Medicago truncatula: one gene and its partner. Each later gene encodes a partner of the first gene's protein in a complex. Links are inferred from orthologs where the notes say so. Each region holds a gene or a part of one and is shown in the gene's direction. Other genes may lie near its edges.

What was found.
Region 2: SNF1-related protein kinase regulatory subunit gamma-1 (region 1) and SNF1-related protein kinase regulatory subunit beta-1 share a complex: the UniProt entries of both Arabidopsis thaliana proteins name them as parts of the probable heterotrimeric complex. The link is inferred for Medicago truncatula from reciprocal best matches to the Arabidopsis thaliana genes KING1 and AKINBETA1.

Annotation. Positions count from the first base shown.
Region 1 is NC_053045.1:50,742,126-50,759,040, reverse strand, and holds SNF1-related protein kinase regulatory subunit gamma-1, read left to right. Parts: upstream 1-7,363; coding exon 7,364-7,571; intron 7,572-7,852; coding exon 7,853-8,025; intron 8,026-8,244; coding exon 8,245-8,424; intron 8,425-8,523; coding exon 8,524-8,799; intron 8,800-9,018; coding exon 9,019-9,182; intron 9,183-9,442; coding exon 9,443-9,740; 3' UTR 9,741-10,072; downstream 10,073-16,915. Other genes in the region: exocyst complex component EXO70B1, read right to left, coding at 12,009-14,090. UniProt on the Arabidopsis thaliana protein: Regulatory subunit of the probable trimeric SNF1-related protein kinase (SnRK) complex, which may play a role in a signal transduction cascade regulating gene expression and carbohydrate metabolism in higher plants.
Region 2 is NC_053046.1:39,455,895-39,473,327, forward strand, and holds the start of SNF1-related protein kinase regulatory subunit beta-1, read left to right. Parts: upstream 1-9,002; 5' UTR 9,003-9,030; intron 9,031-12,364; exon of another isoform or gene 12,365-12,488; 5' UTR 12,489-12,567; coding exon 12,568-12,738; intron 12,739-15,789; coding exon 15,790-15,968; intron 15,969-16,055; coding exon 16,056-16,218; intron 16,219-17,226; coding exon 17,227-17,433. UniProt on the Arabidopsis thaliana protein: Regulatory subunit of the probable trimeric SNF1-related protein kinase (SnRK) complex, which may play a role in a signal transduction cascade regulating gene expression and carbohydrate metabolism in higher plants.

The DNA of each region.
Region 1 (16,915 bases):
TATGTGGAAGTGTTTTAGCAAAGCTACACCTTAAGGTGTATTTAACCACTTTTTAGTTATTCACTTGCTAAAATACTCCTTCTAAAAACTAAGTGGGTGTATCCTAGCAAATGCCTATAGGATTTGCTAGAACACACCCACTTATTTTTGTTAGAAGGTGTGTTATAGCAACATACACCTTAAGGTGTATTTATTAACTTTTTAGTTATAACTTGCTAAAACACTCCCACATAAAAACTAGTGGGTGTGTTCTAGCAAATCCATATATATATATATATATATATATATATATATATATATATATGTGTGTGTGTGTGTGAATTTTGCTAATTTACACTCACCTTAAAAACTTGAAGGTGTAAGAAGCAAGTATGCACCTTTTCATCCTTCATTTTTGGAATTGAGTACCCGGAGTCGTGTACATTGACTCAAGATTTTGATCACGCTTGGCTGGTTACAACAGTCCCTTAACCATATTTGCATCAATCAATTCTCATCTCCTATTATACAATGGTAAAATGAGCCGAGAACACTTGACTAATTTCTTGTGTAACATCAACTGCGGTCTTCGTAGTGGTATATTGAATGTTTTGGGTTAGAACTAGGAAACTATACCATGTCTGTTTTTTCAGGACGTAGAATATTTCATGTGGCTAGAACTAGTGAATGATCGAATTGAAATTTATATACCAAGTATTAAAAACAATGCTGTCATGCCACCTCAATAAAGAAACACCATTTTAATTTATATACTTGATAGATAATTAATTAATCATAGAGTGGTGCATGACATAATTTCACATGGAAATCAACCATTAAAAACGTTTGGTTTTCTTTTTCTAATATTTTTTTTTGTGATCAAACTTGAAAATTTTATTCACCTGAAGTCATTGTAATTCATCAAAGTGATATAATAACATCCTAATTAAAGTGAAAAACCAAGCCAGAAAAATCATTCTCCATGGTTGAACACCCAGAACTAGGGCTTGTAATTGTAATGGCAAGAAGCGTAGGTTCAAATTTGTATTCCTATTTTATTTGCTTTACTAGCCATTGCAACGGTTCTAGTTTTTGAGAAGTCTCAATTTGATGAGATCGTGAAGTTTAATCTTGTTGGCATTCAACTTTAAAAGAAAGTCAGATTGACTGCTGCTTGGAGAAAGTGGAAATGCATGGAAGAGAGAAACGTATGGAAGACAGCGAGAAACTGAGGGAAAAGATCAAAATGCAAGATGTCTGTGATGCATAATAATACTTGCGGCCTTCTAATACTCTGACCGTTCACTTGCTCACGTACGGTTCACGATATCAGACGCTCGTGCAACGTAGAAGTTGCCATTGTTTCATTCTATCCATTAAAACATAACATTAAAAAAAAAAAAACTGATAAAGGAACTAGAAAAGAACACAATAAGACATGACTATAAAGGAACCAATACCCCTTAAGGAATAAGATCTATTTATAACAAGTGAAAAATCAACATCTTGGCCTCTAAGAGCAAGAGCTACACACGAGTTTGCTTTCAGATGAATGTGATTAACCTGAATAATCCAACCTAAGAGGTGGATAAAATAAAGAACCTCCTGACATAGACATTGAAGATGAAGGATAGCAGTAAACCGATTGTGAATCATATTAACAACACGAGTTGAGTTCGAATGCTTCTTCTCTTCAGGCGGTGAAGCTGCGTGTTCAGGCAGCCACCTCTATGAGTGGTAATCTCTCCGTTGGTAAATGTGTTACTTCGGATACCACTGTTCTTGATTCGTTCTTTATCAGTCCCCATAACCGCCATTTTAGAGATATTATTACGGTCACTTGGAAGGCTCCTTCAGCTCCTTGGTTCAAAGTTAACATGGATGGCTCGGTGGTTGGGTCCTTAGGCGCCTGTGGTGGTTTGTTTCGTGACCATTCGGGCGCTTTCCTTGGAGCATTCGCTGCTAATATTGGAAACTCCTCTGTTTTTATGGCTATATTCTAGCTATGGAATATGCAGCCAGTAACGGTTGGAGAAACATCTGGTTAGAAAATGATTCCACCAGTGCTTTAGCGGTTTTTAAGATCAGGTCTCTTGTTCTAGTGCTCCTCAGAAACCGTTTGCATAATGCTTGCAATCAGGGAATTCAGGTCATTTGTTCTCACATTTTCAGGGAAGGTAACTGTTGCGCCGACTTGCTAGCTAATATGGGTCACTCTCTTCATGATTCAGTGTGGTACTCGGTGTTGCCGCATGCTTTGCTTCCGCATTTCTTTAGGGACCGCCATGCCTTGCCTAACATCCGGTTTCCTTAGATGGTGTTGGTTTTTCTTCATATTTTATTTTCCTTTTTTTTGCTGTGCTTTCTTTGAGGGTTTTGGCCTAGACCCCGTCTTGTACATCTTTTTTCCCTTTTTTAATAATATTTTTGAGCTGGCCGGCATAGGATGGGAGTTCTGCGGGGTGCCAACCTAGTTGGGTGTCGCTGCTTCCCCTTGATGTCGTTCTACGCTCCTGGTTTAGCAAAAAAAAATAAAAAATGAGTTAGATGCATAATTCAAGTAAGACATCTCATGTTCCAAGATACACCAAAAACCTTTTCACAAATTGACAGTGATGATCTCCAATAAGGCCACCCCAAGCTGAGTGACAATGGATGTAGGATCCATATGTGTTAATTTTATGTATGTAACACAAACAACATTGTGAAAATACAGTGTTTCTATATGTGTGTGTCTATATATATATATTTATATTTGTATTTGTGTGTGTGTGAATTTTGCTAATTTACACTCACCTAAAAACTCGAAGGGATATGCAGCAAATATGCACCTTTTCATTTGAACAAAAATCATTCATCTTTATTGCTAAAAACTAATAATGAGGGCTAGTTTTGTAACTTTATTAAAAGAATATTTGTTAATTTACACCAACTTTACTTATGAACTTTTTATGTTTCAAAGAGACAATGACAAACATGAAACAACTCAAATAAGGATGATTTAGGTTGTCTTCTAACTTTAAGAGTTCATCTCCATCATGTTTAGGGGTAACGCATAAAAACTTATTCACCAGAACCATAACCTCACCCAATCCATTAATTAAAAAAAGAAAAAGGTTTGGTTACCCTTAAATACGACGTGGTCACTCATAAACAATTACTCTCACAAAATAGAGACTCATAAACGCAACTTTAAACGGTTCGTCTTTTTGCATGGACAAGACGGAGAGACTCATAAACGCATTTGTAAAAACGCAACTCCGAACAATTCGTCTATGTGCTTGGACAAGTCTAACAAATTTCCACGTTGAGGGTGGCAAATTGAGTTGTTAATAAGGATCAAGTTTCGATCGTAGTAATATAAGGTAAAGATGTTGCTTATTTGCTTGCTTATCTTGAAAATATTGATTCTTAAAAATAAGGATCAGGTTTCGATCGTAGTTACCCGGATACCTCGACTCAAGGAATTGTATCTTGAAAATATTGATTTAACTTTTTTTAATTCAAAACAAAAACTTAAAAATATTGTTGTGTTACTATCCGAATCTTTTTTCATTAAGTGAACCAATTGTTTCATATACAATTTAATTCCAATTTTTTTGCTAAAAATAATAATTCCAATTTAATTCGGTCCATTTCTATTTTTGCCCGTGTGGTTGAACCATTTAAAGCGTGAGTTATACGACTTAAATCCACAAATTTACAGGTTGACATGTTAACCTGCCTAACTTTTATTTTATACTCCCTCCGGTCCTATATATAAGAAACAATTTATTTTTTTGATTCATTAAATAGTTGATGTATTTGGTCTATTTCTAAATTAGGTACATCAATTATTGAATGAATCTAAAAAGTTAACTTTTTCTTATAAATAGGACCGGAGGTAGTATAATTGATATTAACATAAGTGCACGATTTTTATGTTGTAGTAAAGTATAGACCCTACATATGCTTGTGAATATCAAGGTAGCCTTTTTATTCTCCTAAGTGTGCAAATAAATAAAGTATTTTTTGTATTTCATAAAGGATGCAAGATGATTGGAAAATGATTTGATGTTTGTTTTAAAAATATGTAATGATGGAAAGTGTATCAAAATCATCGGAGTTCATTGTTGTAAGGAACAATCCAAATCTTATTCCTTCCTTTTACCTCGAAAATGCATGTCTGAGGATAAGATATTCACTACTGTTTTCTATCTCTAGTAAGAAAGAATTGCCTCATTAACAAGATTACTTATTCCCATTGCTAACCTTATTGATAATGACCACTAAGCTCGAATACCCATTAGTACATCCCAAAAAAGTCTTTGGCTATTATCATGTTTTGTTTAACCTTATATTCCAACGACTTACCTTCATTTTCCATTTATCGGTAGGTTGCCGAAAATTTTAGTGAATTAAGATCTTTCAATATTCACATTATCAATTTCAACTCTTGTTCCTTCATTGATAACATCGATAAATGATTGTTAGATCTTGTTGTGCTTAAGTCAATCTAACTTGGCTAACCAAGTTCTAACAACCACACTATAATTCTATTTAAAAAGCAAGATCTCTCCACAAAGAAGATTTAGATATTTAGCAAGCAAGATCTTTCCATAAACAAGATTTAGCCTATAAACTACGTCCATCTGATTCATACAACGATATGGTAGTTCGGAAAGTGGCATTCTCATAGAATGCGTTGATTTCCCACAATGGCTCACGTTGTTTGAAGGAAGAGATGCTAAGATCTCATGACTTGGAAAACATGAAAAGAAATCGACAAAATTATCCTGATTCTAAGTAAGGTTGATTGAAATGGTAAGATATTTCTTTCAGTTTAACAACCGATCTTTGATTCGATTTTAATACTTAAAATGTAGTAGTCTTCAATCACTTTTAGAGAGAGTTTTGTACCCGATTTGAGATATAAATATATGTAGCTGTGCGCAGATTTGACACTTGGTTCATAAAAAAAAGTCACGCTAACTGTATCCATGTAACACTTATTAAGAAAAAAAAAGAGTAAATTTTGTATCTTTCCTAAACAATATTAGTAGTCACGATATTGTCATGATGTTGTGGTGTTTGTGGCGACGATGCAACAACAAAGTGTGGGTGGGTGAACTTAATCCTATTACCGAGGTCGTCCAGCTTGCATGAGATGCTCTTATTCAATGGCAGTCAGTTCGCGTTATGAAAAATATGTAATGATGGAAAGTGCATCCGAATCATCGAAGTTCATTGTTATAATAAAAAACAATCCAAATCTTATTAAGTGTAATGTTGACAAAGCTTTTTTTGCTGATCAACGGTGCTTCGGTATTAGTATGTGAATTGGAATTCTCGAGGCCATTTTATTAAAGCTTTAACGAAATGGTAGGATGGTTTCCTCCCCGATAAAAGCAGAGGCATTAGACTGTGTGGTGCCATCTTTTAGCTTGATCAATTGGGACTATCAAATATGCAAATTGAGCTAGATTGTAAGTAAGTGGTAGACATCATTGCTGATAGACTAATAATCAATCTGAATTTGTTAATAGGGTTAATGGTGTTTTACCCCCCTGTAATATAAGTCATTTTTGGTTTTCCCTCCTGTAAAATATTTTTTTTGGTTTACCCCCTGTAAATTTTATTTTTTTTTGGAATACCCCCTAATAGGTCATAAAAAAACGAAAAAATTATGCAAAAAAAAAATAAAGTCGTTTTTTTATGACCTATTAGGGAGGTATTCCAATTTTTTTTTTTTTACAGGGGTGTAATATTACAAGGGGATAAAACACCATTAACCCTTGTTAATATTACGTTTTGATGTAGATCACTATTACGATATTTTCCAAATGTTAAGACAAGTTTTATTAAAAAAAAAACAAGTAAATTGTATTGCCCAAGTGTAAAGAAGGTGTCAAAATTGTATACCTGTCACCATATCTTTAATTTGAGTCTATCATATATTAAATTTAGGAAAATGTTAACCAATGTTCTTAAATATTAGTTAAGAATATAAAATTAAAAAGATTGTGAAAAAGTGAATATTCAACTTTTTGAAAATAAAAAAAAAGTTGTTGTTTCCAATAAAAAAATTCTATAATTAACTTCCTTAATTAGTGTCATAAGGTCACTGGTTAATAAGACTCTTACATTTATTATGTCGTCGATAGTTTAACTAATGTGCCAAAATTATAGTATGAGTTAATTTTTTGGTATGAGTTATTGTGGGTAAAAGAAAAAAAGCAAAACAATATGAATAATCATGGAAGGAGTGGTGGTCAAAGGCAGAGTCACGTATTGTTCCTATCCTGACCTGTCTCAATTTGAATTAAAAATTAAAAATAATGTTACTTGACTGTCTAAACTAGATAATGATATTATTTCTATCTTCAATATAATAGATTGACACGCCATCTCCATCTCCACATCACAGTGAGAGTGAGCGTTATCAGTGACTCGATATCAATAATTATGTATGTACTCAGCTCAAACAAATACAAGCATAACCTAACAAAGGGCCCTATTTCCAGATTGATTGGTCTTGTGCCTTTAAATTAATTTTGTATCTAAAACAATTTGTACCTTTCAATTTTACGGTCAAATTCAGGTTAATTATATAATTCCTATCCCAAATATTCCCGAATCAGTTTAAGTGAACATCTGAGTCATTAAGCTCAGTTTAGTGAAAGTGCCAAAGTGACAAAAGAATTATTATATTAATATAATATAATTAATTAAACTAATATAAGACCTAAGGTTTATTTTCATTTTTACTCCACCCAACTCACTTAAATATTAAGGATTATGTAAGTGGGACGTGACTCCCTTAAAATAAAAAATGTCATTAAAAAACTCAGAGTTGATACATGTAATCAATGAGGTGTAAGATATAAAAAGCAACCAATAATTATCATCTTTTAGAATAACAAATATTTTTTAGCATAATTGCTTTATCAAAATCAATAATCATGAATAGTTTATTACATACAAGTAGCATGATGAAATCAATTCTATGTGCTGCGCAAAACACTCTCCGGCTCATATTAGTGTAGCACACCCTTGTGGCCCATAGTAAAAACCGGATAAGAATGTGTTTCCATAATGAAATTACAAATTTGGATAAGTATACCGAATAGTATGGAGCACGTAACCATTCACGTTGACCACTGTAGTAAAATCAAACACAACATGTTACATCATCATAACCGTACACGCTTCCTTAATATAACCAAAATATGAAAATCAAAGGTGAATAATTCAGGTGTAGTGTAGGACACTAGTTTCAAATGTTTTAGTAGATTTTAGATCCCATTTTTCAGTTTATTATTATGGAACAATGTGTTGGGAGTAGTAAAGAGAAAAAGACAAAAACATAGAGATCTTATAATATTGTCATCATCATCAATTCATCATGCAGTTACACAGAGAGAGAAAAGAAGAGGGAGTAATGGCAATGGCTACAATGAGAGAGATGCCAAGGAGCCCTGAAGCCAAACTTGGGATGAGAGTTGAAGATCTATGGGATGTTCAAGAGGCACAATTAAGTCCTAATGACAAACTTAATGCTTGTTTTGAAAGCATACCTGTTTCTGCTTTTCCTTTGCCTGCTAAAAACCAAGGTAGTTTAGTGTCTATGTATGTATGTGTCTGATTTTGATTGAATAAAAGAAAAAGTGATTTTGATCACACCCAGATGAAAATTTATGTGCATGTTTGGTATCACGATAGTATATCAGAATCATGGTGGTTCACCGTGATTCTGACAAACCAACCAACTATGGTACCAAACATGCATGTGTGACCAATTGATGTGTTATTGTGTGTGTGTGTTATAATTTTTTTGTGGTGTGTTTTTATTGGGTTTGTTCTAAAAGTGTGAATTTTATGTTTGCTTGTATAGAAATTGAAATAAAATCAGATGCTACCTTGGCTGAAGCTGTGAAAATACTAGCACGTCACAATATTCTGAGTGCACCTGTTGTGGATGTTGATGCACCTGAAGATGCTACTTGGATTGATAGATACATCGGAATAGTTGAGTTTGCTGGAATTGTTGTATGGATTTTGCATCAGGTTAGATACATATGTCACTTGTCAATTCAATTATTTCACTTTCAGAATAAAAATGAGGAAAAGATCAAAAGACATATGAATCTAAAATTTACAATCAATTTTTGTACTTATATTTACAGTGTTTTCATATCTAAAAATGATATGATACCTGTTCTATTTAAGTGATTTTCTTAGATGCTTCAATTTCACACTAAGCTAATGTGATAATGTTGTTGACAGTCTGAGCCTCCATCCCCCAGGAGTCCATCCACTCCAACTAGCGCAAGTGCTATTGCAGCCGCAGCAAACGGAAATACTTTTGCCCGAGAACTCGAAGCCTTAGGCCTCGGATCTGCAGCGACAACTTCTGGAAACTTTTTTGAGGATCTTACTTCTTCTGAACTTTATAAGAACACGAAGGTTGTTTTGCGATGTCTAAATTTCTTTCAAGTGATTCTTCTTCCAGCTACTAATGAGTTTGTATTTAGTTATTTAAGTAGCTAACTTTTTCGCAAACAGGTTCAAGATATTTCAGGAACATTTCGATGGGCTCCGTTTCTTGCTTTGGAGAGATCAAACTCATTTCTAACCATGCTCTTGTTGCTTTCTAAGTACAAAATGAAGAGTGTTCCTGTGGTAGACTTGGGTTCTGGTACAATTGATAACATCATCACACAACCCGCCGTGATTCATATGTTGGCAGAATGTGCCGGACTTCAATGGTTCGAAAGTTGGGGAACCAAGGAACTATCTGATGTTGGTCTTCCCCTTGTGACACCAAAACAGATCATCAAGGTGTGTACTATATCATATAAGCTCTCATTGCATTGAACCTTGTCAAGTATGAATTCTGCATAACTCTAGTGCATACAGAGTAAAATGCTATCTTGCATTTCTTAAATGTGTGTGCATATATGGAAAATGCTTCAAAATAGTTATTTCATTTCCCCTTTCAAGTAAAGTAAACTTGTCGATCTTGATGAACTTGACAATGGATCGTTTCATTCTTTTCAGGTTTATGAGGATGAACCAGTCCTTCAAGCATTTAAAGAGATGAGGAAAAAGAGGGTTGGAGGGGTGCCTGTAATCAAAAGAGGTGGCACCACGGCAGTTGGTAATATAAGCTTGCGAGATGTTCAATTCTTGCTAACTGCTCCAGAAATCTATCATGATTATAGGTATGTCAGAGGTTTTAAATTGTGATTCGCAGTTGCGCCACAGTCCTTGATATTGCTGAGAAATGTTGTCAAATATGGCTGATGCGACCTCAATCACGGTCAGAGACATCAAAAACCTTGTGTCACGACCTGAACTGTGGACGCGGACCTTTTATTAAAACTGTGTTTAGACCGCATTGCTGATATCTTCTATCTTTCTTTCTTTAGTTGTTCTATCTGTTTCATTACTACATACTCATTGGATGTTCACATTTTGACAGAACTATTACAGTGAAGGACTTCCTGACCTCCGTTAGAAGCTACTTAGAGAAGAATAAAAACGCATTCCCAATGTCAAGTGAATTCATTACATGCAAAAGGGACTGTACAGTGAAAGAGTTGATTCAATTGCTTGACAAAGAGCAAATTCACAGGGTCTATGTTGTGGATGATGATGGGAACCTTGAAGGACTAATCACACTAAGAGATATCATCTCAAGGCTAGTACATGAACCCCACGGCTATTTTGGTGATTTCTTTGATGGTGTTCTCCCTCTACCTGCTAACAGCAGGGTTTAACAGACAAGGCATCAAGAAAGAATAACTTGCTCTTGCAGAGATTTTTTGTTTTTGTTTTTGTTTTTGAAATAATTCTTCAGAGGAAAAGTAAAAAATATGTATTTATCTTCAGGTTGAAGATGTGTACCTAGGTCTTTGTAATGTGTAGGCAGTTTGCAAGTTACTTGCACCTGTTTTAACTAATTTTAGAATGGGACTTTTATGTACTGTAAATTCTGGTGTAACCGTAAGTTCTGTCAAATTTTGGGTTGTTTTCGTTGTCTTCGATTCGTGTTTCTGTTCACCTTATTATGACTAGAGCGACACGTGTCTATCCACATTTTTCTTTTGTATTTTGTTTTTTTATGTATTATAAAATATGTTTACTTCAGTTTAATAAATTTATGTGTTTTTCACTTTAAAATATTCAACATAGTTAATTTTCAGATTTTCTATAATTTTGACATACTATTAAGATTTAAATTTGCAGAGAATTTAATTTATTAAGGTAATTTTGTCCAGCAAAATTCCGACCAAAAGTTACTCCCTCCGGTCCTATTTATAAGAGAATTTTAGGTCAACAAAAGTTGATGTATCTAGTTAAAAATTCAGTCCAAATACATTCACTTTTGTTGACCTAAATTTCTCTTATATATAGGACCGGAGGTAGTATTAGTTAACTTTCGAGTTCCTTTTATATACTACTAACGGAAAATGCTCACAAGTAATGGTATAAATTTTGAAATAGTACCTGGTGCATGAAAAGGCTTAAGTTGAATGGTAGTCTTTGTTGGTGGCTATGGAAACAGACAAAAGATAATATCCCAAGTCCCAACACGACAAAAAAGAGACCCATTATTCTCGGGGGTCGGCTTGGAACGTATCCCAATTGGAACTTGTGTTTTGCACTTGTTAGTTTGACGTAGGAAGTTGACAAAAACAAAGAAAATGAAAAGGTTGAAAACAAAGGGAAAATATAGGAAAACTACACTAGCGTACGGCGTACTCACATTGAAAACCAGTTACTTAGCGTGCTTAGCCAAAAGTGAAGTTTCATCACATGCTCAAATAAAGCAACTCTTCCAGTTTAGGCTGGCCAAGCCTAAAGTGTAAAGATGTTCAAGAGACAATTAGCATTTCTGTTTTGGTCATTTATGGACAGTGTAAGTGCAAAGTAATACCTGAATCAAAATATCTGTTGCCAGCAAACATGATAAGAATTTCAATAATTAAAAATCGAGTCAAATCGAAATGGAAGACTTTCATTCCAATTCACTAATGTTGTATGAACAATACCCAAAAATCATATAAATAATAACAAATAACATTTACAATTGATATAGTTTCAGCATGTGTCTGTCTGATCACCGATCATGGTTTCTCAACACATACATATGACAAAAGAGTATGGAGTATGCTTGTTAGAGAGCTGAATTCGAGGGACCAAAATAAACGCAAATCATCATAAGTTTGTTCGTCTTGCAGAATTATTGCATGGTAAGCCACAGCAAATTAGCATATCCACATAGCTGGAACTACTAATTACAAAACAACAAAAGGCACACGAACTATTGCAGCAAAAGACGCACAGAAGTGGCATCTAACAAAGGGGATGGTAGATGCTAGAAGATTGCAAGATCAGAAAACGTATAAACAATAACATCTTTTTTGCATGGGCACACAGCTTCCGACAATCAATATGACGAATAATTCGAATGCCATAATAACTGTTGATCTATTTCAATGATTCTTGGACAATCAACATCATTTTGACTAACATCTAAGCCTTTTCAAATGAGCAAATTTTAATGTTTTGAGTGGATCCAGTTTCTGGTACACCTATGTCTTATTTCCTCACTTCAATTATTATCATCTAAACATAAGATATACACAGACAACATGGTATCTGTCGGGTCAGGTAAGAAAAGCACAAGTTCATTCATATAGAAAAGTGAAAATAATGCAAATTGCAGATATGTAATTTACATGAGAATCGGATCATAGTTCAAGGCAGCAGCTATTAGTGTGACTGTATGAGAGAACTATTTCAACAAGTATAATGATTGCCGATAACAGCATAAATAAGTTGTGCAAGACACTGGACTTAAGAATATATACAAAGATATTACAGTATTCGCAGGCGCAAAATCCAATTCTAACATTAAGACCCTGTAAAATAAACAGCTATCCAGGTACAAGATAGATATGCATGACACAAACTTTTTCAACTAATCCTGATAAAATGAGTTCACCTGTCAAAACTCAAAAGCATATTATCTTATAATTATTCTATGTACTCTTTCTCCTTATGTGATGTAATACAGCAGGGGATCCTTCAAATAAATCTAATAAATAAGTCTCTAGATCCTCTGGTACATACTTAATGTATTTGCCTGCATGTCTTCCCTCCAGCTGACCGCTAAATCTCCCCATAAACGAGCGGTATGCAGGTATCACCTTCTCTGATATATTTATCCGCATCTCTTCACGAAGCTGGTCATCAGGTACCTTCCAAGCTGTCTGAACCCTGTATATTTCTTCAAAACACGCGTTGAAATTCTTAAACCTTTCCTTCAAAGCCATCCTTGATGCATTATTAGAGCTCCCTCCAACCCCTTCATCCCTCAAACAAGCCAAGGCCTTGCTCCAACAGGCTCTAAGGTACCCCGTAGCATACTGCCGTACCTGACCGCGGCGCTTACGAACCCAATTATCCCCCAAAACCTCTATAAGATCTGAGTCCTTCACTTTACGCACCAGGTAATGTAGATTGTTCATCAAAAACACCTGCTGCAATGCATGGTCTTCATAAAGTTTTGATTTTTCCTCAAGATTGTGCTCAAGTTCAGACATCAACAACAATATCTGTCGTCCAAGAGGGGACAAAGCTTCTAACTGGGACTCATCACCACCCAAATCATTTTTAAAGTGGTAAAGAGCCTCTTCACTGATTTCCAAAAGCGAATCCATAGCATTGCTATAATCCGCAAGCAGTTTCAGGTAATTCATAACATAACGAGGCAAAGGATGAACATCCCCAGTTATAACCGGCCTTCTGGAAGTCTCATTCCGAATACAACTCTCAAATTCAGCAAACGTCCCTTTCACAGCCTCCCCAAGTCCTCTAAGCACACCCTTCGCCTCAGTAATCACAAACTCATCCGTAACCATATCCTCCAATTCAGGCAAAGCATCTCTCAGAACTTCATACATATCCAAAATCCTAAACAGCTTCTCCGGCGACCTCTTACAAATGGCAACAGCTTCACCAAAATTCAACAACATCATAACACAACCTTTAGCTGTTTCATTGAAACACATCTCCTTCACATCCTCCAATTCACCGAAAAGACTATCACATAGCCTCTTCTCTCCACTCAACAAAACCCTAACAACAACCTTAGCAGCTTGCACCCAATTCTTCATCCTCTCATCCAAACTCTTCCACTCAAACTTCTGCACCTCTTCAATACTCAATTTCTCAACTCCCAGAATCGCCAAACACTCAACCAACGCGTCACGACGAACACTACTATAAACCTGCAAACACTCCCTCTCATAACCAGACCTAACCATCCGATCAATAATATCTTTCAAATTCAAAATTGATTCCGGACGAACTAAATCAACAAACAAATCATCACCAAGACTAACACCACGTTCATGAAACCTATGAGAACCAGGATCACCCGCATCACCAAAACTCCCAGAATTATCATCAAACCCACCCGCACCATCGTGCGAACTGAAAGACAACGAACTCCTCCGATTAGTACTACACCGGCTAACAGCATCAGGCGGAACAGTATTACAAATCAGCACATGTCGAAGCTCGTCCTCGAGCCTCGACATAGCAACTTGGATCGCGTTATCAGCACGATCCAATATAATCTTACCGGTTTTTACAGCGGAATTAATCGGCGGCGAGATCGTGAAGTGTTCCATCCATTGAATAATCTCATCAACAGCGTTGAAATAGACTTCAGGATCATTCGGAGGATCGAAAAGCGAAGTGGATTGACGAGAAGACTCGGTGGATAAGGAAGAATCGTCAAGTATGACTTTCTCCGCAGCTTCGAATCGGTCAAGGTCTTCGTCGTCGTCGTCGTCGTCGTCGGATTTGGAAGATTTGGAATCGTCGCCGTTGATAAGGTCGGTGATACCGGAGAGACGGTTGTCGAAGGTGGAGAAGATTAAGAGCATGTCTTCACGATCTTCTTTGGGAGCTTTTAGGCTTTTGAGGATCTGTTGTGCTGTTGCGAGAACTCGATCGTCTCCACCGGCACCGGTGGCTCCGCCGCCGCCGCCGTGGTTGGTGGTGGCGGCCATGGGAAGAATCGAATTAGGGTTTTGTATTGGATTTTGGGTCATAGAAGAAGAAGAAGAAGAATTGTGTGTGATGAATGAATGTGTAAGAAATGAAAATAGAATAGAATGGAAGAAATGTTTGTGAGAATTATTCTCGGATATGTCAGAATTTTTTTATTTATAATTTTAATTTATATATTTTTTTGTAGGAGATGATTGGGGTGGTTAGGTGTTGTTTGGAAATGGGATGAAAGAAAAAAACTTTAGGAAGAGAAAGAAGCTGTTGTGTTGTGTTGTGTTGTTTTGTGTTGGCTTGGCCGGCTACCTTGCTTGGAATTTGAAGCCTATCTTACAACTAAATCAGTTTTACCTCTAAAAAAGTAAAATCTGTTTTAAAAAATTATTTTATTTATAATTAATTAATTTTTGTTATTGTAGAAGCATCTAGACAAAAAAACAATTCTAGTCACAATTTCAAATAAATTTTTAAATGAAAAATAAATTAATCAAATCATCTAGATGAATTCTAGGATGAGGATTCAATTAAGTCCCTCACCGATGGATCACTTATAATAACAAATAAGAACTATTAGATTAATCAAACATATACATCATATTATACATTGTATACACTAGATCACACATCTTTTTCAATACCCTCCTCCTCTCCTTTCTCTGCTACCAAACGTCCATGTCCACCAATGTTGCCCTTGCATTTAACATTTTTTGGGGTGCTTAATTGGTTATGATGGCAGCCATGGAGAAGATGAATCAAGGTATTTCCCAAATGAAAGATCTTAAAATATCGTTTGGACCAATGCAAAGAAATAACTTCTTGGTTCATCGACACACCTTTATTTTTCCATTCAATTTTGTTTAAGAAAAAAAAAATAGAATTGAAAAAGATGTTGCAATGAAATGAAATCAAAAGAAAAGAGAATAATTGCTTGCTGCTCACTTTATTTTATTTCTAATTCACTGAAATCATTAAAAGAAATTATGTATGTATATGTTTTCCATTGTTGCCACATGCCAAGGCATCAAGGACACGAACACAAAGTTCAATTTACGAAGGTTCAATTTCATTTTCAAGCCGGAACAATATCTTCTCTGTATGCTTAACTTACGCGACAGCTGCATATGAAGTATCCAGATCTCCTATGAGTATTGTGGAAGATATGGGGGGCATGATTGTGTGTAGCAATCTTTCAAAGTTCTATTTTTATTTTTAAAAAATCCGAACCTTTCATCAAATCTGATGATGAATAAAAAGTGATCCATCGGTGAGGGACTTAATTGGACCCTCACCCTAGAATCCACCAATCATCTAATATCATTTTTTAAAACTTTTTTTTTTTGAAGGATCATGTTTTTTAAACTTCTTTTGGTGGAATTTCCTTTTTAAATTTTACCAGTTATATGTATGTATTCAAATTAAATTTATTTGGAAATTATCCTATTTCAGAGTCGCTCTTAGATGATGTGCGTTTTGGTTTGTCATTTGGATAGTAAGACAAAGTTACCTTACGAGTCACGCGCCGGAATATTCTTCCAAGATTTTGCTTTAAAATGGGTGACAAATATTCAGGTCTTACTTTTTCCTAAACAAAAAAAAAAAAAGATATACAGGTCTTACTTTGATTGTATTATTAAATAAAATAATTTTTTTGATGTGCATATGGAATCAAATTAAATTTCACCAAAAAAAGGAAATAAATTAATTTTTTGGATTTTGTTTTGAATAAAAAATATTATTTATATATTTTCTCATTTATGAAAAAAAAAAGAGGATTATAAAATAGTGATTCTATAATTTATTTATTTTTTGTAAATTAATATAATAAAATAGTTTGTCTAACATGTGCAATATGTTAAAGTAACTAAAAATAGGAGCACCCTTATGATATTTGCTAGTAGTGTACAATTCAAAATCATGTTTCGTCTAACCAAAAAGAAATAAAAAATCATGCTTCGTATGGTCTTCTAGGGTTTCCAAAGCTAGGGTTTCCAGTGCCTCCCCTTTCTTGGGCTACCGCCGCACCTTGGGCCAGATCCACCTTGTGAGAAGTTGATCTACATCTGATCCATGATCTAGATGTTTCCTGGTAGCCTTTATATATCGTCTATTTTCTCTACTTATGATCATCGCATCCAAACCCTAACCTTCATGCGTCTGTATGCGTTATGTTGTTTCTAAATTGAGTCTCCTTGTTTTCCTCTGCCATCCTTGAACACTGTTTGATTGGTCGAGTCCTTGCTGATCGTGAAATCCAGTCTGCCTATTTCAGTGAGCGTATGTTGCGCGCTTGGAAGCCAGACAAACATGTTACGATTACGAAATTCGTTGTTGATCGTTATTTGTTTCAGTTCCACCATAAGGTTGATGCGGCTCGCATTCTAGATGAAGGTTCGTGGTTGTATGATAACTTTCATATTGTTATGGACCGAATTGCTCCTGGCGTCGTTCCCAGCTTTGTTCCCTTGAATCATATCAATTTTTGGGTTCAAGTCCACGGTCTGCCACTTGGTTTTATCCAACCTAAAGTAGGTCAAGGTCTAGGATGTTTTTTAGGTACCCTAAAAGCTTATGATGGTCGTAATACAATCCATAGCGCTTATATGCATATCAAAGTTGCCATTGATGTTAATGTCCCCTTGAAAAAAAATGGCGTGTCCGTGCTAGTAATGGTTCCTTTGTGACTGTTAATTTGAAGTGTGAAAAATTGGGTGTCTTTTGTCACAGGTGTGGTTTACTCGGACATACGGAAAAAGTGTGCCCGAAGCTGTTTGAATTGGAATCTGATTATGGTGTTCGAAACTAAGGTGTCTATCTCAACCCCGCTTCACAAAGGATAGGTAATGCTGCAACTAACCGTTGGCTGCAGGAC
Region 2 (17,433 bases), on another chromosome or scaffold:
CTCTTCAAGTGATTAAGAAATTACAACTTGAGAAAATGTGAAACAATTGTCTCCCATTCTTCAAAATTGAGCTTAGTCCTCTTCAAAATTGAGAAAAAGTTTTGTTCATTTTAAGATTGTGGATTCAAAATTGACATTCTGTAGTTTATGTGAACCTATTCTTCAATTCCCTCTGCGAGAGTTCAAACAAGTAAATAGGTAGACTCACTTGTATGTTGGGTTATTTTAAAACGTCTCCGAATTTGATTTGCAGTTGAGCTTAGTCCATAATTAGTACCAACACTTGAGATTGTTACTGCATATGCTCAATCATATTGTGTTTGATTCAACTTGAGATTTCCCTCCTTTAACTGCATAAATTTACAAGTATTCAATGTCTAATAATTTTGTCCTGTGATTTTGGTTTGTACTGCATGCATGTTTAGAATTATAGTTGATTACAAGTATTCAATGTCTAATAATTATAGTTGATTTTGTGCACCATCTCTTGAATTTAGTCTCCTAAATGTTTCAAACGAAATATTTTTCCATCTTATCTTTTAGAGCACTTCATTTACGTAATATTTTACGTATTATTTTACTTTTTTTAGCTATGGCATTGGATTGAGAAAGAGGCGTTAGTTTAGTTTCAAGTGTGTGATTAATTGAGTCAGATCAACAAGACTTGAAGCTCAAACTCGCAGATAAGTTCCTTTCAAAGATGATTAACTTCCAAAACAACTGAAATTAAGTAGGTCTTATTAGCATTTTTAAATTGATCTTAGTTACTATGATTCAGTTAAGGAATAGTTAATGTGCTGCGTAGAGAAATTTCTTAAGACAAAGCCTTCCGTAGTTCCTTCCCTTCCCAATCCCGACTAGTTTCTTAAGACGTAGTAAAGTACTTATACGTATAATTGGCTTTTTATTTTGTCATGTATCTTTAATTATTTTTAGCCTAGAATGCACAGACATTATAGAGATTCGTATAATTGGTTTCATTTTATTCAATACAAATGATTTTGGTGATGTTTGAGGCAAATTTCATGACAGAACGTGACTACTATATCATGTTCGATTTAGGAAAGTTCTACATCGAACACCATACAACAAAGTTTATATTTGTTTGAAATGTGAATTACAAATGGAAGGAAAAGTTGGAAGGATATAGATTCACGATCTTACTTCTCAATTTATAATCTTGTAACATAATTTCTTTTTTTATCTCTAAAATGGAAGAGAATTTTATCTCCTCCATATTAACTTGTGTGCACCTTTCAAATTTCATTTTACCTCCTTTTGGATTTTAAAATATTTAGAAAATCACTTCATTTTGGTCCTCTATAATCAAAGATAATTTCTTTTCCCATCCTCTTAACATCCGGCATGCCTTCCAAATTGATCACTTTACATCTGTTTGGATTTTATAATCCAAAATGTATTTGACGTTTTTTTGATTAAAAAGTCCGAACTGTGTTTTCACAGTTATGATCAAATTTAACCCACATTCCAAATTATAAATCACTATGATCAATCTATTCCCTTTATAAATCACTTAATTATGGTTCTCAATAAGGGAAACAAAATTCTTTTCCCACCCAATTAATTTATTAAGCGCCCTCCAAATTGATCATTTTACCTTTATTTGGATTTTATAATCCAAAGAGTATTTGACATTTTTTAGATTATAAAATCTGAACTGTATTTATACAATTTTGATCAAATTCAAATCATATTTCAAATTTTATATTCATCACAACTCACATTTTAATCCTGGTTGATTTAACAATAAATTTTATTTTTATGTGTGTCGAACACAGTTCGAAGTATATAATCCAAAATGTGTCAATTCACCCGAATCATAATTATTAACACAATATGTGCCCGTTTCAAATTATATCATTCGAACCAATACTGAGCAATAGTTCATATTATAAAACCGAAATGTGTCAGGCTGTGGACGATTCAGACGGTTTTTTGTGTGTTTATTGCATTTTTGGTTGATTGGGTCATTTTAAACGTTTATTTTGACTTTTGTTACAGTCTAGGATTGTGTTGTTCCGATTAGCTCTGAAGATTGTCGTGATTTCTGTTGTAAATGAATAGACACAGTTGTCCATGCAGAGTAATATTAGGGAATCTAGTTCTTGAAAAGGTGATTAACTTCCAAAACAACTGAAATTAAGAAGGTTTTGTTAGCACGTTTAAACTGCGGGATTGTAATCGACTTAATCTAAGTTACAATGATGATTATGTTATGAAAATTGGTGTGCTGTGTTGAAAATTTTTCTAAAAAAAAATTAAATAGCAAAAGAAAAATTAGTTTATGATACATTTATATGTTGTTTTTATGGAATTCTACAACCTGAGACATAATTTATACGTTTAGTTAGATGAGAGTATTCATAGCAATGATAATTGGTGATATTATTTGAGCATTTTGTGTTTTGGTGATAAATGATGAAAAAACAAAAATAATGACAGCTGTGGGACCTTTCGGACCAGAGCCTAAATCTGGCGCCGTAGACCACTCGGCCAAACTGTCTTGTTGTGTTCAATTTATAAGACAAATCATGGGACAATAACAAACAATAACATTTTATCACAACAGAACAACTAGCTCACTGTTTAGTAAGAAGAGAATAGACGAAGAGAAAGGATCGAGTTCAATTAGTTCAATTGTACCGTAGCCTCACACACAAACAAGGGAATTTGATGAAATAAAAGAGAACCGAAAACTATAACCACATCATCCATTCTTCCTTGAATCATCTCAGACATCTCAATTCTAAAAGCATGACAGTGAACACACAAAATACATTGACACCTAGAGACGTGGATAACAAACATCTTACCGACTGTTGAGAAAATAAATATATCTTTGATAACGAAAGGGGGGAAAATGCATAAAAATTATAAGGATAAGGAAAAACTCACCAGCTAGAAATTAGAGTTATGAAATCAACAATTTAGTTCGAAAGATAGGAGAGCCTTTGGCGATAAATAAGAAATTGAATATTCTGCAATGTGATCACAGGTTTCACATATAAAAGACCCCATACAAGTGCAGATCTTGAAGTAATTTTATCCCTTTCTCATCACAGTAACGCTGAAAAAGTTCCCTTGTATCTTGCAGTGCCTTCGACTTGAAAAACATACGGTGTGAAGATTAATACTAACAAAGTTTTGTTTACATTAAAAGAGTTAAAAGGTAATATTACTGCAGGAAATTTCGTTCAAAAAGGAAATGGCAGCAAAATACTCAGGAATTCCTGTGGAATAATTTCCGCAGGAAAAACGTGAGTTTCTAGTAGTGTAAATAATTTTTAGATTCATTGGTAACTGTGGGATATCACGAATTCTATACCAACTTGGATTCATTATTCCCACAGAGCTAACTAAATGATATAACTTTGTGTTTGTATACTTCTAACCGAGACTTTGAATTGCTGACTTGAGTAACTTCAGCATATGACCTAAGTATTCTGTTGTACCACTCCAAAGTCTCTACCAACATAGGATGCTGGGCCTAACATTCAACAACTCTATCAAATTCAATTTTTTCCCCTAAAAAAAGAAACAATTTCAAGAAGTCACTATTATCCTTCAACAAGACCAGTGTGCGATTCATTGAGTCAGATCAACAAGACTTGAAGCTCAAACTCACCGATAAGTTCCTTTCAAAGTCACTATTATCCTTCAAAAACTCTAAGCTAATACGCGTCAAGTTTTGGATGAAAGAAGTCATGGAAGTGTCCTTGCAGGTGTGGCAAGAGTCTGTGCAGAGTGATATTAGGGAGTCTAGTTCTTGAAAAGATGATTAACTTCCAAATCAACTGAAATAAAGTAGATCTTAGATGATGTGCTGTGTAGAGAAATTTTCTAGAAAAATTAGTCTATGATACATGATTTTATCGAATTCTTCCACCTTTGAGACATGTTTTTTGTATTTGTTTTCCATATTCATCTTTGCTATGTTCTATAAGCAATAACATCATTCATAGTTAGGGCTCTGAGGAATGCATAGGTCAGAAAGCTTCATGGGAAATGAAAGGTTGCTATCATGTGTTTCACCATATTTCCAAAGTAGTGTTGATATTTTAGGATATGGACTGTGACATGAGCATCACAAATTTATATTCATCTTTGAAATGTTATTTTATTTTATGTTTTGTATTGTTGATTCATGGTATGTGAACTCATCTTTGTTTATCTCTAATAACCTTATAATCAAGAAAACAGAGAAAATGTTTTTTCACTTAGTAGACAGTTGGGAAATCGCGAATCCGTAACTAGCCAACTTGTTCTTTTATTTTTATTTTGTCATGTATCTTATCATTACGTCTATCCATGTCACTATTTCTTTTTATTTTGTCATGTATATTTAATTATTTTTAGATTTGAATACATGGACATTATATGGATTCATATGATTGGTAAATGATTTTTAGTTTGGAAATGATTTTGATGATTTTTTAGATAAATTTTATGACTACTAACATCATGTTGGATTTATTAAAATCCCACATCGGACACAAGACAACATAACACTATATTTATAATTGTTTAAACTGTCTTTATAAGCTTAGGAGAATGTAAGGGCAATAAATTAACTGTTTCTAACATCTCTCGATTTATTGTCTCCAACAATCTCCTTTTCCATTTATTAACTTCTCTGTATCCGACATTTTTTGGATTATAAAATTTGAATAGTCTTTGATCAAATACAACTCACATTTCAAATTATATATTCATCATAACTCACGGTTTTGATTATATATTCCTTTTAAAATCACTTCATTTTGATCCTCTATAAGAAAAAGAGAAAAACGAAAACACCACAACAACAACGGAAGCTAAAGCAAGAACACCAAAACCCCACTGATCAACCCCCCAACGAGAAACCATGGAGGCCAAAAGGAGGGAAAGCTCAACATGGGCGGTCGAGAACTAGAGGCCAACCACACAAGACACTCCCTATTTCCCTTTCTAAGTACTTCACTTATAAAAAATGTAAAGGTCTCATATTGTTTAACACTCTCACTCAAGGAATTACAAGCATAAAACACAAATGTCAACTTTCTATATTTTAGATGCCAATAAAGAAATAAAGGCACCAAGAACAAATATGATCAAATTACTTTTGTTAGTTTTCCATATTCATCTTTGTTATGTTCTATTTGTGGATTGGAGAAACTTTTGTTTTTCATTTATTTACTAGGTCTATGAGGTTGCTAAAGAAGTCTTCATGGGAAATGAAAGGTTGCCATCATGTGTTTCACCATATTTCCAAACTAGTGTTGATATTTTAGGATGTGGTGAGTGACATATTTATATTTATCTTTGAATTGTTATTTTTATTTTCCTTTTTGTATTCTTCATTTACTGATTCATATAATTAGCTTGTTATATTGTCATGTATCTTTATTTGGCCGAACCTTACTAATCAGACAGACCAGAGCATGACCCTAATTATTTTTAGACTAGAATACACGGACATTATAGGGATTCATATATATAATTTGTTTCATTTTATTCAATATACAAATGATTTTGATGACGTTTGAGACAAATTTCATGTCTGAAAGTAACTACTATATATCATGTTCGATTTATTAAAGTCTCACATCGATCACAATACAACATATCATTATATTTATAATTGTCTCATATGTCAATTTTAAGTGTGAGGCATGTGTAAGGGAAATAAATTATCACAATTTATTTCCCTCAACTGTGTCTTCATTTTGGTCTGCGTATACATAGTTTCATTTTATAGACCTCTATATTGGATGAGAATTTCTTTTTCCGACCTATTAACTTCTCGTGCGCCTTCAAAATTGATTATTTTACCACTGTTAGAACAACCTCTTCAAGTGAATAAGAAATAAGAATTTGAGAAAATGTAAAACAATTGTCACCTAAAACTTATGTTAAGTAGTTTATGTGAAATTGTGAACCTATTGTTAAGAACTTGAAAATATTTAATTCCATCACTAACACTATAACATGCTACAGTGTTGCAGTTTTGTTCATTTTAAGATTTTGGATTCAAAATATATGTTCAAAATTGAAATCTTGAAACTGTGGAATGTTGGCACTAATGCATTATATACATGGCTTCTACAAATTTCATTAAACAAATAATTATATGTTGAACGTAATTTGAAAGAAATACAAAATACTTTAAAAGTTGTATTTATCTTTGAATTGTTATTTTGATTTTGTTTTTTGTAGTGTTGATTAACTAGAATGTGAACTCTTCTTTGTTTATTATCTCTAATAACCTTATAATCAAGAAAAAGGAGAAATTGTTTTTTCAATTAGTAGACAGTTGAGAAATCACGAACTGGTAAATAGTCAAATTGTTCCACAGTGAAGGTTCGTAAACGGTCTTTGGCTGGCTATGTATCAATTTGGAAGCAACCTGCAAAGAGTTGGATTTATTAAAGTCTATCAATGTCTCTCCTTTACTATTTCTTTTTATTTTATCATGTATCTTTTATTATTTTTAGAATAGAATACACCAACGTCATAGGGATTCATATAATTGGGACAAATGATTTTTTAGACAAATTTTATGACAAAAGTAACTACGAACATCATGTTGGGTTTATTAAAGTTCCGTATTGGACACAATACAACATAATACTATGTTTATAATCGAGGTGAAATGTCTTATAAATTATGATGAAAGTGGAGGGGATTAAATTGATTGTCTCTAAGATTTCTCAATTTTGATCCAGCCAAGCAACCTTTTATGATTTTTGCTTGAAGTGCGTACGGGGGACAAATTGGGTTTTTGATCGAATTTTAAATTTTAAAGGATATTTATTTTAGGAATTTTTATTAAATTATGTTAAGAATTTTGTATAGATTTTGCTAAGAATTTATTATTAATGATAAAAAGAAAATAGTAGTAATTTTCGAAAATGTGAATGAATTAGGCGTAATGTCTAGGATCAAAATCCAAGGCGTTACAATTTTGATGATGTTTGAGACAAATTTCATGACAGAAAGTAATTACTGCATATCATGTTGGTTTTATTTAAGGCCCACATCGGACACAATACAACAAAACATTATGTTTATATTAGTCTGAAATGTAAATTAGAAATGGAAGAGATAGATGTGTATGGACATAGATTGTCTCTTAAGCGTCTCAATTTATGTCATATATCATCATTCTTCCATTTTAAACGTTTTAAACCTCTAAAGAGAAGAGAAGAACTGTGTTTATGTTCGTGCACTCTTCAAATTGACCATTTTATCTCCTTTTGAGAATAGAAATTATTTTCTTTTTGCACGTCCTTCAAATTGATCATTTTGTTTTTGTTTAGATTTTATAAACCAAAGTGTAATTGAAATTTTTCGGATATTAAAATCTGAACATGTGTTTAGACAGCTTTGATCAAATTCAACTCACATTGTGTTGCGGATATATTGAAAAGTCAAATTATATATTCATCACAACTCGTAATTCAAATTATGCTTCAGCATCGGTTTGGTAAGTACAAAAACAAATATTTTGCATTTGAAGGGAGTAATGTTAATACAATACAATTTTCACTATGGAGTTTTTGCCAAATAATTTATTCTTGCCTTCAAGCTATGGAGTTTGTGGTCCGTGTTCATAATGTTTATATTATGACGAGGATATTGGGATTACTCGAGTACATGTCATAAATAATGGAAAATGATTGGTAGACCACTCATATTTCCATACCACTCATACACCCCCACATATTCTAGAGGAGAGAGATGGATGAAAGAGAAGAGAGACAAAGTGTTTGTGGGGTCTAGGACACGTGTCACATGTTTATGTGGAGGTTTAAGTGTGTATACCACCTATGGATGTACATGTATCACCACTTTAAATAATTAAGGAATTTGTTGTATTGTGGATGATAAGTAAGCAACTATTGAAGATTTCATTTGTCACACCTTATTATGATGCATAATCATTGACATTTCTATATTTTGATAAGAAAAAATAAGGACACACACTCTAATGACTATGACGCAGCACTCAGTTTGAAGAATAGTTGGGGAAATATGCAACGTATTCATGTATTTGATAATGGGAGTTTGACTAGCCAAGATTTAACTAAGGGACTAATTAAGTTCTCTCAATATACTTTTGCTGCAAGGTACATATTGGTTTTTGGGTCTTTGTAATGAGTTTAAGGTGCCACTGTCTCTCAATACCTCGTTGACAATCACAAGGTATTTACTTTATAGTCCCTCCGTTCTTTGTCTCAAAATATAAATAAAAAAGACAAACTTTTATCCTATTTAATCTTATTTTTTTTAAAAAAAACTATTTTTCAAGAAAAACTTTTGTTTATTCTCATAAAATTAAATGCAAATTATATTCAATTTTCTCTCTCTTTCATTTTTTCCATAATCAATAACCAATGAAAATTGTTTTTACATTTTCCTATAAAACTTTTTTCAAAGAAAGCACAAAATTATACTCTAAAAAACTTTTTGCTTATAATTTGGAACGGAGGGAGTATAAGATATGATGATTAAATTGTAACATTTTCTCTTATTTTTTTCAAAATTGAGTTTTTTTTCCAAAGAGAAACTCGGTATCTACTACACCCTAATTACTTTAAAAAAAAGTTGGACCCTTTGGATATTTATTGTTACTGCATGTCCAACTATTGAATGGTTATGGCCCTTGGCAAGTTGCTAATGATGGGCATGCCCCTGCTTGTCCCACTAGACTAGAGTGAAGGTGACCGCAATTGCAATTGGTCTCCTTAATGGAAGGTCGATTCTTTTTTTTCTTTCACTCAACCCTCTAATTCTTGGAAGAAGGTAGTTTGAAAATCTGAGCTGAAACGTAAGTAAAAGTTAATAAAAATTATATTAAATATTATTTTCAATCTTGAAATTATCCTTAACATCCGTCTTCATCCATCTGAACTTGATTCTTGTAATTATAATTTATATGGAATTTTTTTTCCATTGGTCCTACCTTGTATTTAAATTGTAAACAATTTGGTGAGTGGTCAATTTACAATAGGTCTCTCTCTCTCTCTCAATTCAGAACTTTGCTAGTTTTCAATAGTACACACACGTGATAGTAATCGATTTGGAGTTATCTTTAACTTGTTGATTCAATCATTTGAATGCACACCATCTTCGTCCTCAAGTCCTTTTGGGGAACTTTTATTGCTTTAATAAAAAAAAAGTGTTGCTTACAAGTTACAACTACATGATGTATTATTATAATGTTGTAAATTGTGATTTGGTGATTGCATGATATATATCAAGTAAGATTATTTGCGAAATGGTCAATTATTGACATTAATACATCCAGTTCTATTGAGTTTATATCAATCAAGAGACGAGACTCATATTATATTGAGCTCACACAAGAGGATGATATTGATGATCCATTTTAGAATAATGAGAATTCTAATTGATTATCACCTTATATATATATATATATATATATATATATATATATATATATATATATATATATATATATATAAGGTGATAAGAAGAGAGATGCATAAGAAGTATCATTTGAGAAAGAATTCATGCATTTCAAATATCTAATTGAGTAAATTTTTTAATTGAAGTTAAACTAACCTATCTAAATTAACTTCAGGAAGAATCAAACTGTATCAAACCAACTCAAATGAATTTCAAATATCTAATATATTTGATAAATCAACATATTGTATATCACAAGGTAGTTTATAATCATAATCTTTGTATTCAATATGTCTTGTATTGATTAACTAACTATTAAACCATGCTTATATACGGGATAAAGAGCATATTTTATTAGTTACCAAAATGGAAAGAAAAGAAAATGTCAAATTGTCTTTAGACCGGGGGACGAGACTCGTACATTGCATTTTAGTAGTATTCCTTTGTCCGTGAGTGTGAAGCACGTCTTTTTTTACTACTTTTTTAATACAAAGTGTCTTTCGTTTCGCAAACCCTAGTATAAAAATTGATAGTCAAATATAATAAATATTACATTAAAATTTGTGTTGTCAACTCTTTAAAAATATAAAAAGTGTTATTTTCATTTTAAAATTTCATATTTTTAATTTTCTTAACTAGTATCCCGAGAACACCGGTTAACATGACGCATCAAAATTAGGCTTGGCAGCTATTTCTTCATGCGAATCTTGCATTTTGTCAGCTAATCATTTAGAAATAAACTTTTGTTTTCCATTTGTTGATTTCATAATCTGTAACCCACACTCAGAACTACGATGAATAAAAAATGTTACTAAATACTTCAACAATAAACTAATTCTGTTGGTTTACGATGCAAAATGAATATTTGATCAATGTCAATTTGTTTATAATAGATGAATCAAAACAATCAATTTTGTGTGTGTTAACCCTCCAATTTTTAAAGGAATATTGCCTTAATGATAGGTTAGGAGATAAATAAAGTCTCAGCAATCATTTTTCACCTAAAAATCAATTTGGATTTTCCCCAGCGATAATAACCAATTTTTTTTTTTGTGGTGGCTGGAGTTCGAATGATAATAACTAATTTATATTTTTTGTGGTGGCCGAAGTTTGAACCCCTACCTTACAGATATTATGCATAGTCTTTATCAATAGAGCTAAGCTCACGAGGACATAATAACTAAAATTAAATTCAATTATCCATTAAACATAAAAATTGTACTACTCATTCATTATACCATCTTTTCAATGGATGCACATCTATTCAGAACGTATAATTATATCAAAAATAAAAATTTGTATTATTTAAAAGGTACTTTTGTTCGTTATTATTTAAAAAGGACTTTCGTTCATTGTTTAGAAAGTAGAAACTATTTAAATTTTAAATTAATGAAAATTATCTATTAGCTTTAGCTCAGTGGTACTCCCTCCGTTTTAAAATATAAGCAAATTTTACTTTTTAACTTCATTCCATTAATGATGTATGAGGTTTATATTATGAACCACATGAACCACATAGATCATTAATTGAATGAACCTTAAAAATAAATTTTGCTTATATTTTGAAACGGAAGGAGTAGAAATTTGCCTTGCGATATCAAAATACTTAATTTGAATCATCTCATGATTTCTTTGAGTCTTACAAGTATGATGTCCCTTGAACCTCTCATTTGAGACATTATTTCTTTGTTTCATCTTTCTTATCAAAATCCTCCAACCATGTTTTTTTTTCCTCTTTCTTTTCAAGTGAGTTAAGATCCTCTCCATTTAAATTTTTATCTATTTCTACCATTTAGAGAGATATAGACACAAATTCTTAAAAATAATTAATGATAGTCAGACTTATTTAATGATATGACCCACCACCTACTTTATGTGTCTATATCTCTCCAAATTGTAAAAATGGAGAAAAATTTAAATGAAGAGGATCTCAACCCTTTTAAATCACTAGAGCCTTTATTAGGATTCCTCTTCCTCCTTTTAAGTTTTAATACAATAGTTTTTGTTTGTTTTTCACTTTTTCGTCACAGACGAAGTAAGTTATACACACATAATAAGAGGTTCAAATCTACGACACTTCAAAAGAAATTAAATCTAACAATATTGATGTAATTTATAGTGGTTGATCTTACAAATGTTGCTTGTTTTTTATTTACATACAACAAAGTAAAATCATAGTAAGAAATTAGGTTGTAAATACGATGATATGTGTAACTTCCGTGAAAGAAAACCGTGATTTGATTCTTCTTCTTGTTTTTTAATTACAAGGGAGGTTATTAGGCTAAATTACAAACGAATACGTCGATTAAAATAGACATTGGCTATATCCTGTCGTAAAAGGTTAAGATAACTCGGCAATGGAGGTCCAAATAGTAAGTACACGTAGGTATTAAAAAGGCATAACTCGAAAATCAATCAGCTACTTTGGTTTGTCTGCCTAAAAATATAAGAAACGCTAATATGTTAATCCTTCATTATAAGACGATTAATGAGTGAGACAAACATATACTTTGGCAAAGTGGTAAAGAGGTTGTCATCGATAGACCAAGGCATCTGTTTGATCCCTTGTGCGGACATCTTAAATTTTAATTTGGATCAATTAGTTTAATTTCTTCAAAGAAAAAAGAGAGTGACAATAGAAAAGTAAGGATGTGTGTGTCGAGGGACATCCTTTGTTAACCAAAGATATCGTAATAGTTGAGTCAAATTCAAGAGAAAATGTTGCGCGTATCTTTTTTTTTTAGACATACGAAATGACAAAATTATTATAAATTCACACATAAGTGAAGTTTTTAAATTCGAACCCTAATCATAATGTTCCGCTTAATAATTTCGATATTTTTATACCATAAAAAGTGTAAGAAAATAAAAAAAGTTATCTTTTTCTCTTCTCCCTCATATTTTATTTTTAATAATAAAATTTCTGGCTCGAAAGTCCAAAACATCCCAGCGTCAGATCAGACTCAGACACAAAACTTGATAAGAACGAACAACGATAACCGTTTTCTTCTTCTTCTTCTTCTTCTTCTTTGCAACACTTTCACTTCTCAACAAACTCTCTCTCTCTCTCTCTCACAATTCTCGTTGTCGTTTACTCTTCTTCCTTCATCTACATTGCAAGTAAACGACAACAATATGGGAAACGCTAACGGAAGAGAAGACGGAGCTATTCCCGACGCCGGCGATCCTTCCGGTCGTGAACCTCACGCGCCACCTCCTATTCGTGCTTTTTCTTCCGATTCAATGGCAAATAGTCCGCCTCAAAGTCCTCGTCGTTCCAGATCGCCGATCCTCTTCGGTCCTCAGGTTCGCTTTCTATTTCGTTCTTTCATTTTACGCTTTTCTGAATTTTTTGTTATACAATAATGTTAGTTGTTATTTTCGTTCGTTAATCGTTACTGTTGAATTGAATTTCGATTTTGTGTGTTCGTTGATGATGCTGTTCATTTTGTGATTAGTATGTTTGATTAATGTTAATAATCATTTTATGAATTAAATTAAATGCTAATAGGTTAATTTTGTTGAAACTGTGGATTATTATTGAGTTTAAATTGTATGTAGATTATTCTGTTTGTTTAATTGGTCGGATCTGCGGATTCTGTTATTGATTTGGCTGGCTCGCGAGTGCATGGATCGTGTATAGTTGATGAATGTGATTTGGATTGAATTAGGAATTAATGTTATTACCAAGTTTAAACTGTAGGTTATTGCGTGTGTTATATTAAATGGATCCGCAAATTCTGTTATTTATTTATTGATCGATTGGCTCACGCGCGCATTGATTGTGTATGTATATATGAATGTGATTTCAAAAGGAATTAATGTGTGGTTGATTTCCATGTGATTTGTCTGTCCAAAACTTGATTAGATAGGGAATGAGGGGGTGATGAAGTGTAATGTTGCGAATCTAGAAAGTTAATTAATTGCTTTAATCTCTTTGAAGATTTTGAAGAACGGTTATGCTTGACAATCTGTCTGTTAATGTAGTTAGCTTACCATTTTTGCGATTCCTTGCAATAATGCAATCTCATTTTGGTTTAGTGAGAGTCGAAAACAATTTACCAAATTTACTAACGCAGGGTGTTTGTTTATGTGGGCCAAGCATGCACACATTTAAAAGCAGTCCTTACTGATAAGGAAGAAACCGTTGACCATTTGGAGCCTGTTTAACTTGAAAACAAACAGGCAAGAAGCCGTTGACCATTTGGTGCTTATTGAACTTGAAAACAAACAGACACTTAGTCATAACTTCACGGTTCAGACATTAACACACGATTCCATCTTAGTTTGAGTTGGACCACATGATTTTTGTCCTTGTAAAACACGTGGAGCCATGTCTTCACGTTGCAGATGGTTGTTAGTTGTACCAGATAATTGTATATGTAGCGTTACACCATTTGGAAATTCACATTAATTGTTCTAGTCTAACGGACTCAATCTGTTGATTTTGTCTGTTTTGGAAATTGGGAATTGCATTTAATGACGTCCTTGATCAAGTGTGTATCGGGAATTGCATTTAATAACGTCCTTGATCAAGTGTGTAAATTGTGAAATGATCTGTTTGGAGGAATGTCTATGAGATATATGCTTTATGTCCATATGTTGTGTATAGTTGTAATTGAGAAGTACGATTGTCAATTTGGCTTTCAATTCAAGCTTCTGGATTGACTGTTTGCGATTCGATGTGTGGACTTTGGAAAGTCAATAAGATATATATTTTGTAGAAGCCATTTTATGGGTGAAACACTATGGACTTTGTTTTGTATTGAGTTTTGTTGTGACATGTTCCCTTGGCTACTAGCTTACTGTCCTCGAAGTTTCTGAATTGAAAAATAACACATGCAGTATTGGAACGTGAGTTCACAGAACACTGTGCCAATGTTGACCTAGCAATTTTGGATTTCGTAACCAATGCATCATGATGTGCACAAAAAATCTTGTATGCGGTTATATTTTTAAGCTTTTAAGCTTATTTAATATCAAAATTTCTACGCAAGATTATAAGCATGAACACTTGCATTGCATATACATTTATTCTCTCCTGATCTGTGTACACTTTATATTGATCCCGTTGATTTGGAAATTGCTCATTGTCATCTTTCTTCCTGGTCATTGTTTGGAATTTTCTATTTTTTGCGTTGATAAGAGAATTGAGAGAAAATGTTTTGTTTGGCAGTTATCCCCCCATTCTCCTGGGAATCTCTCATGTAGAGTTCATAGATTTCCATTTCCAGTAAATTTTAACAGACCAGGCTCATACTTTATCAACTTTATACGAGTTATCACTGTCCTTCGCTATTTTACTGCCTTCTTTGAATTTTAGATGAATGGATTGTGCACAATTTCATTTAACATGGACAAAATATTTTTTATTTTTTTACCCTTTCATATATAGGAAAGTTTTTCCTTGGTCTGCTGCTGCTAATGCATATTTTTTTAGCTGTCAGCCCAAAAATAATTTCCTAGTCAGTAAAAAAAAACCATCAATATGTGGAAAATGACTGTCTATCTTCAATTGTGGAAATTGTTTTCCAAAACATTTTCAATCTTAAATAAAAGAGTGGTGCTCCTCATACTCATAGCATTTTCTTAATATATTTCATATTCCAACAACTTTGTATTTGGCCCTAATCATGACACATTTAAATTCGTTTAACTCCACATGATTCAATTCAATTGATGTGATCGTTTTTATTGACTATTTGATTCCATATCTGGAAACGTGATAGTTGCCCTCCAAAACAAGTTAGATTTCATGAGATATCTTAGACAATTTTAACTATGCAACATCCGAAACATCGGCAGATCTTAGTTTTGATGAGGATGCCATGGCCACCCAAAAATTTCTTCTTTTCAATAGGTACACATAAATTTTGTAGTATCAACACACACACACACATTATGTGTATTTATTTACCAAACTATGTATGCCAGCGCAATTGTGGAAGAGCGTTTTTGCAGCTTAAGTTTCCTGGGATCGAATCTGGCAGAAACCTTTTTTATATTTCCTTGGCTAAAATGTTGAACGCGAGGTTTGAACTCAGTCCACTTAGCTTTAAATTACAACAAAACTAACCACTACACCAGCCAACTAGTTCTATAAATTTAAAGCAATATTGTTATATATATTCTTTACATACTTGCCCCCCCTCTAAAATACTGATAAAACTCTGCTACTGATCCCAAATGATTGGGGTCAGTTCGCACCATAGCTATGTGTCCTTGTTAACAGCTGTAGTCTAATGAAGCTTCATGGTTATATTTTCATATGACTGTGGGAAAAAATTAGGAATTTCCTAAAATTAAAGACTTGCCAATAATTAAAATCTAAACATAGGATTTCTCTGTACTTTTCAGGTTCCTCTAGCTCCATTACAAAGAGGTAACGGGCCTCCTTTTCTCAATCAAATGTGGCAGAATGAGCCTCATGGTATTGTTAATCAAGCTCCTGAGCAAGGAATCCCTGTTATGATCACTTGGAATTATGGAGGTAACAGTGTGGCTGTGGAGGGATCTTGGGATAACTGGGCATCTAGGTAAGATTTGATAACTCCTTTGTTAGTAATGGTAGCTTGATTGAATTTGACATGAAAAGTTAGCAATCGGTTAATTTTAATTATCAGGAAGGTATTGCAGCGAGGTGGCAAGGATCACTCGATTCTTATAGTCCTCCCATCAGGTATATTTCATTACAGGTTCATTGTCGACGGTGAACAAAGATATATTCCGGATCTTCCTTATGTAGCTGATGAGATGGGGAATGTCTGCAATCTTCTTGATGTTAATGTATGCATCTTCCTTTTTGTGTTTTTTTCTTCTTCTGCAAACATCTTATTGTTATGTGAACAATATCCTTTTCATTATGAAATGAAATTCGAGGATCTTGTCCTTTTGGTGCAACGATGATTGCTTGCTTGTATGTAATATGTGGCAGTTTTTTTCTTCTTCTTTGGGGGTGGTGGTGGGGTGCAGGTAACTAGATGTGAGGGGTAAGGAAAGAGTTCATTGTTTTTTATGTCATATATCAAGGATGAATATAGACCGAGGAAATACTGGATTCTGTACTCTACTGTTGGTTTATTTACTTGAGTTTTGGAAAGCCAAATTTCATGAGATTTTCTGCTTTTAGGGCCAGAGCATTAGTGTGATGAAATTTACTATAGAACATACTTAATAGTTAAATTAAACTTGAGTTCTAACTTAATTTGCTTTCCATGAATTTGAAGTTGTTAATCAGTAGGGCTTTGTTTGCGAGTTCGGAGGGGAGGACTTTGGAAAAAAGGAAGGAGCAAATGGAAAGAATAGGGGAGTTTTAGGAGGGGAGGGCTTTGGAGAGTTTAGTTTTCTTCATAATACAAGATCCCCCTAATTTGGGGGAACCCAAAAGTTGTATTGGAGGACTTTAGAGGGTTTTGGAGGGTTTATACGAGTTCTTCAAATTCAATCTATGTTGTTATAATATTCTTAAAATTAAAAAATATAGTAATTTTAAACATTAGTTTATCATTCTCTAAAAAAAATAATCTTCTAAAAAATGTGAAAGATTTATCAAATTTTCCTTATATTTCCCACCCTCCAAATCCCTCCCCTCCCCTCCAAACTCCCAAACAAAGCCTAGGAAAAGAAAATCCTTGTAATTGTAATAAATGTTTGTTAATATTTCCTGTCCTATCTAGTCCAGGCGAGTGTCCATGATTGCTTTTGATTGTTTGATTATGATGAGGAGTTATCATCCCATTTAATGAAAATGATTTGTCTTCCATTTAATGATTTGAATGTTCTTGTTTTTTGCAGGATTATGTGCCAGAAAACCCTGAAAGTGTGTCTGAGTTTGAGGCACCACCCTCCCCAGAATCTAGTTATGGTCAAGCATATCCAGCTGAGGAAGATTTTGCAAAAGAGCCAATGGCTGTTCCTTCGCAGCTGCATCTTACAGTCCTAGGCATGGAGAACGCTGACTCCGGTCCCTCTTCAAAGCCTCAACATGTTGTGCTAAATCAT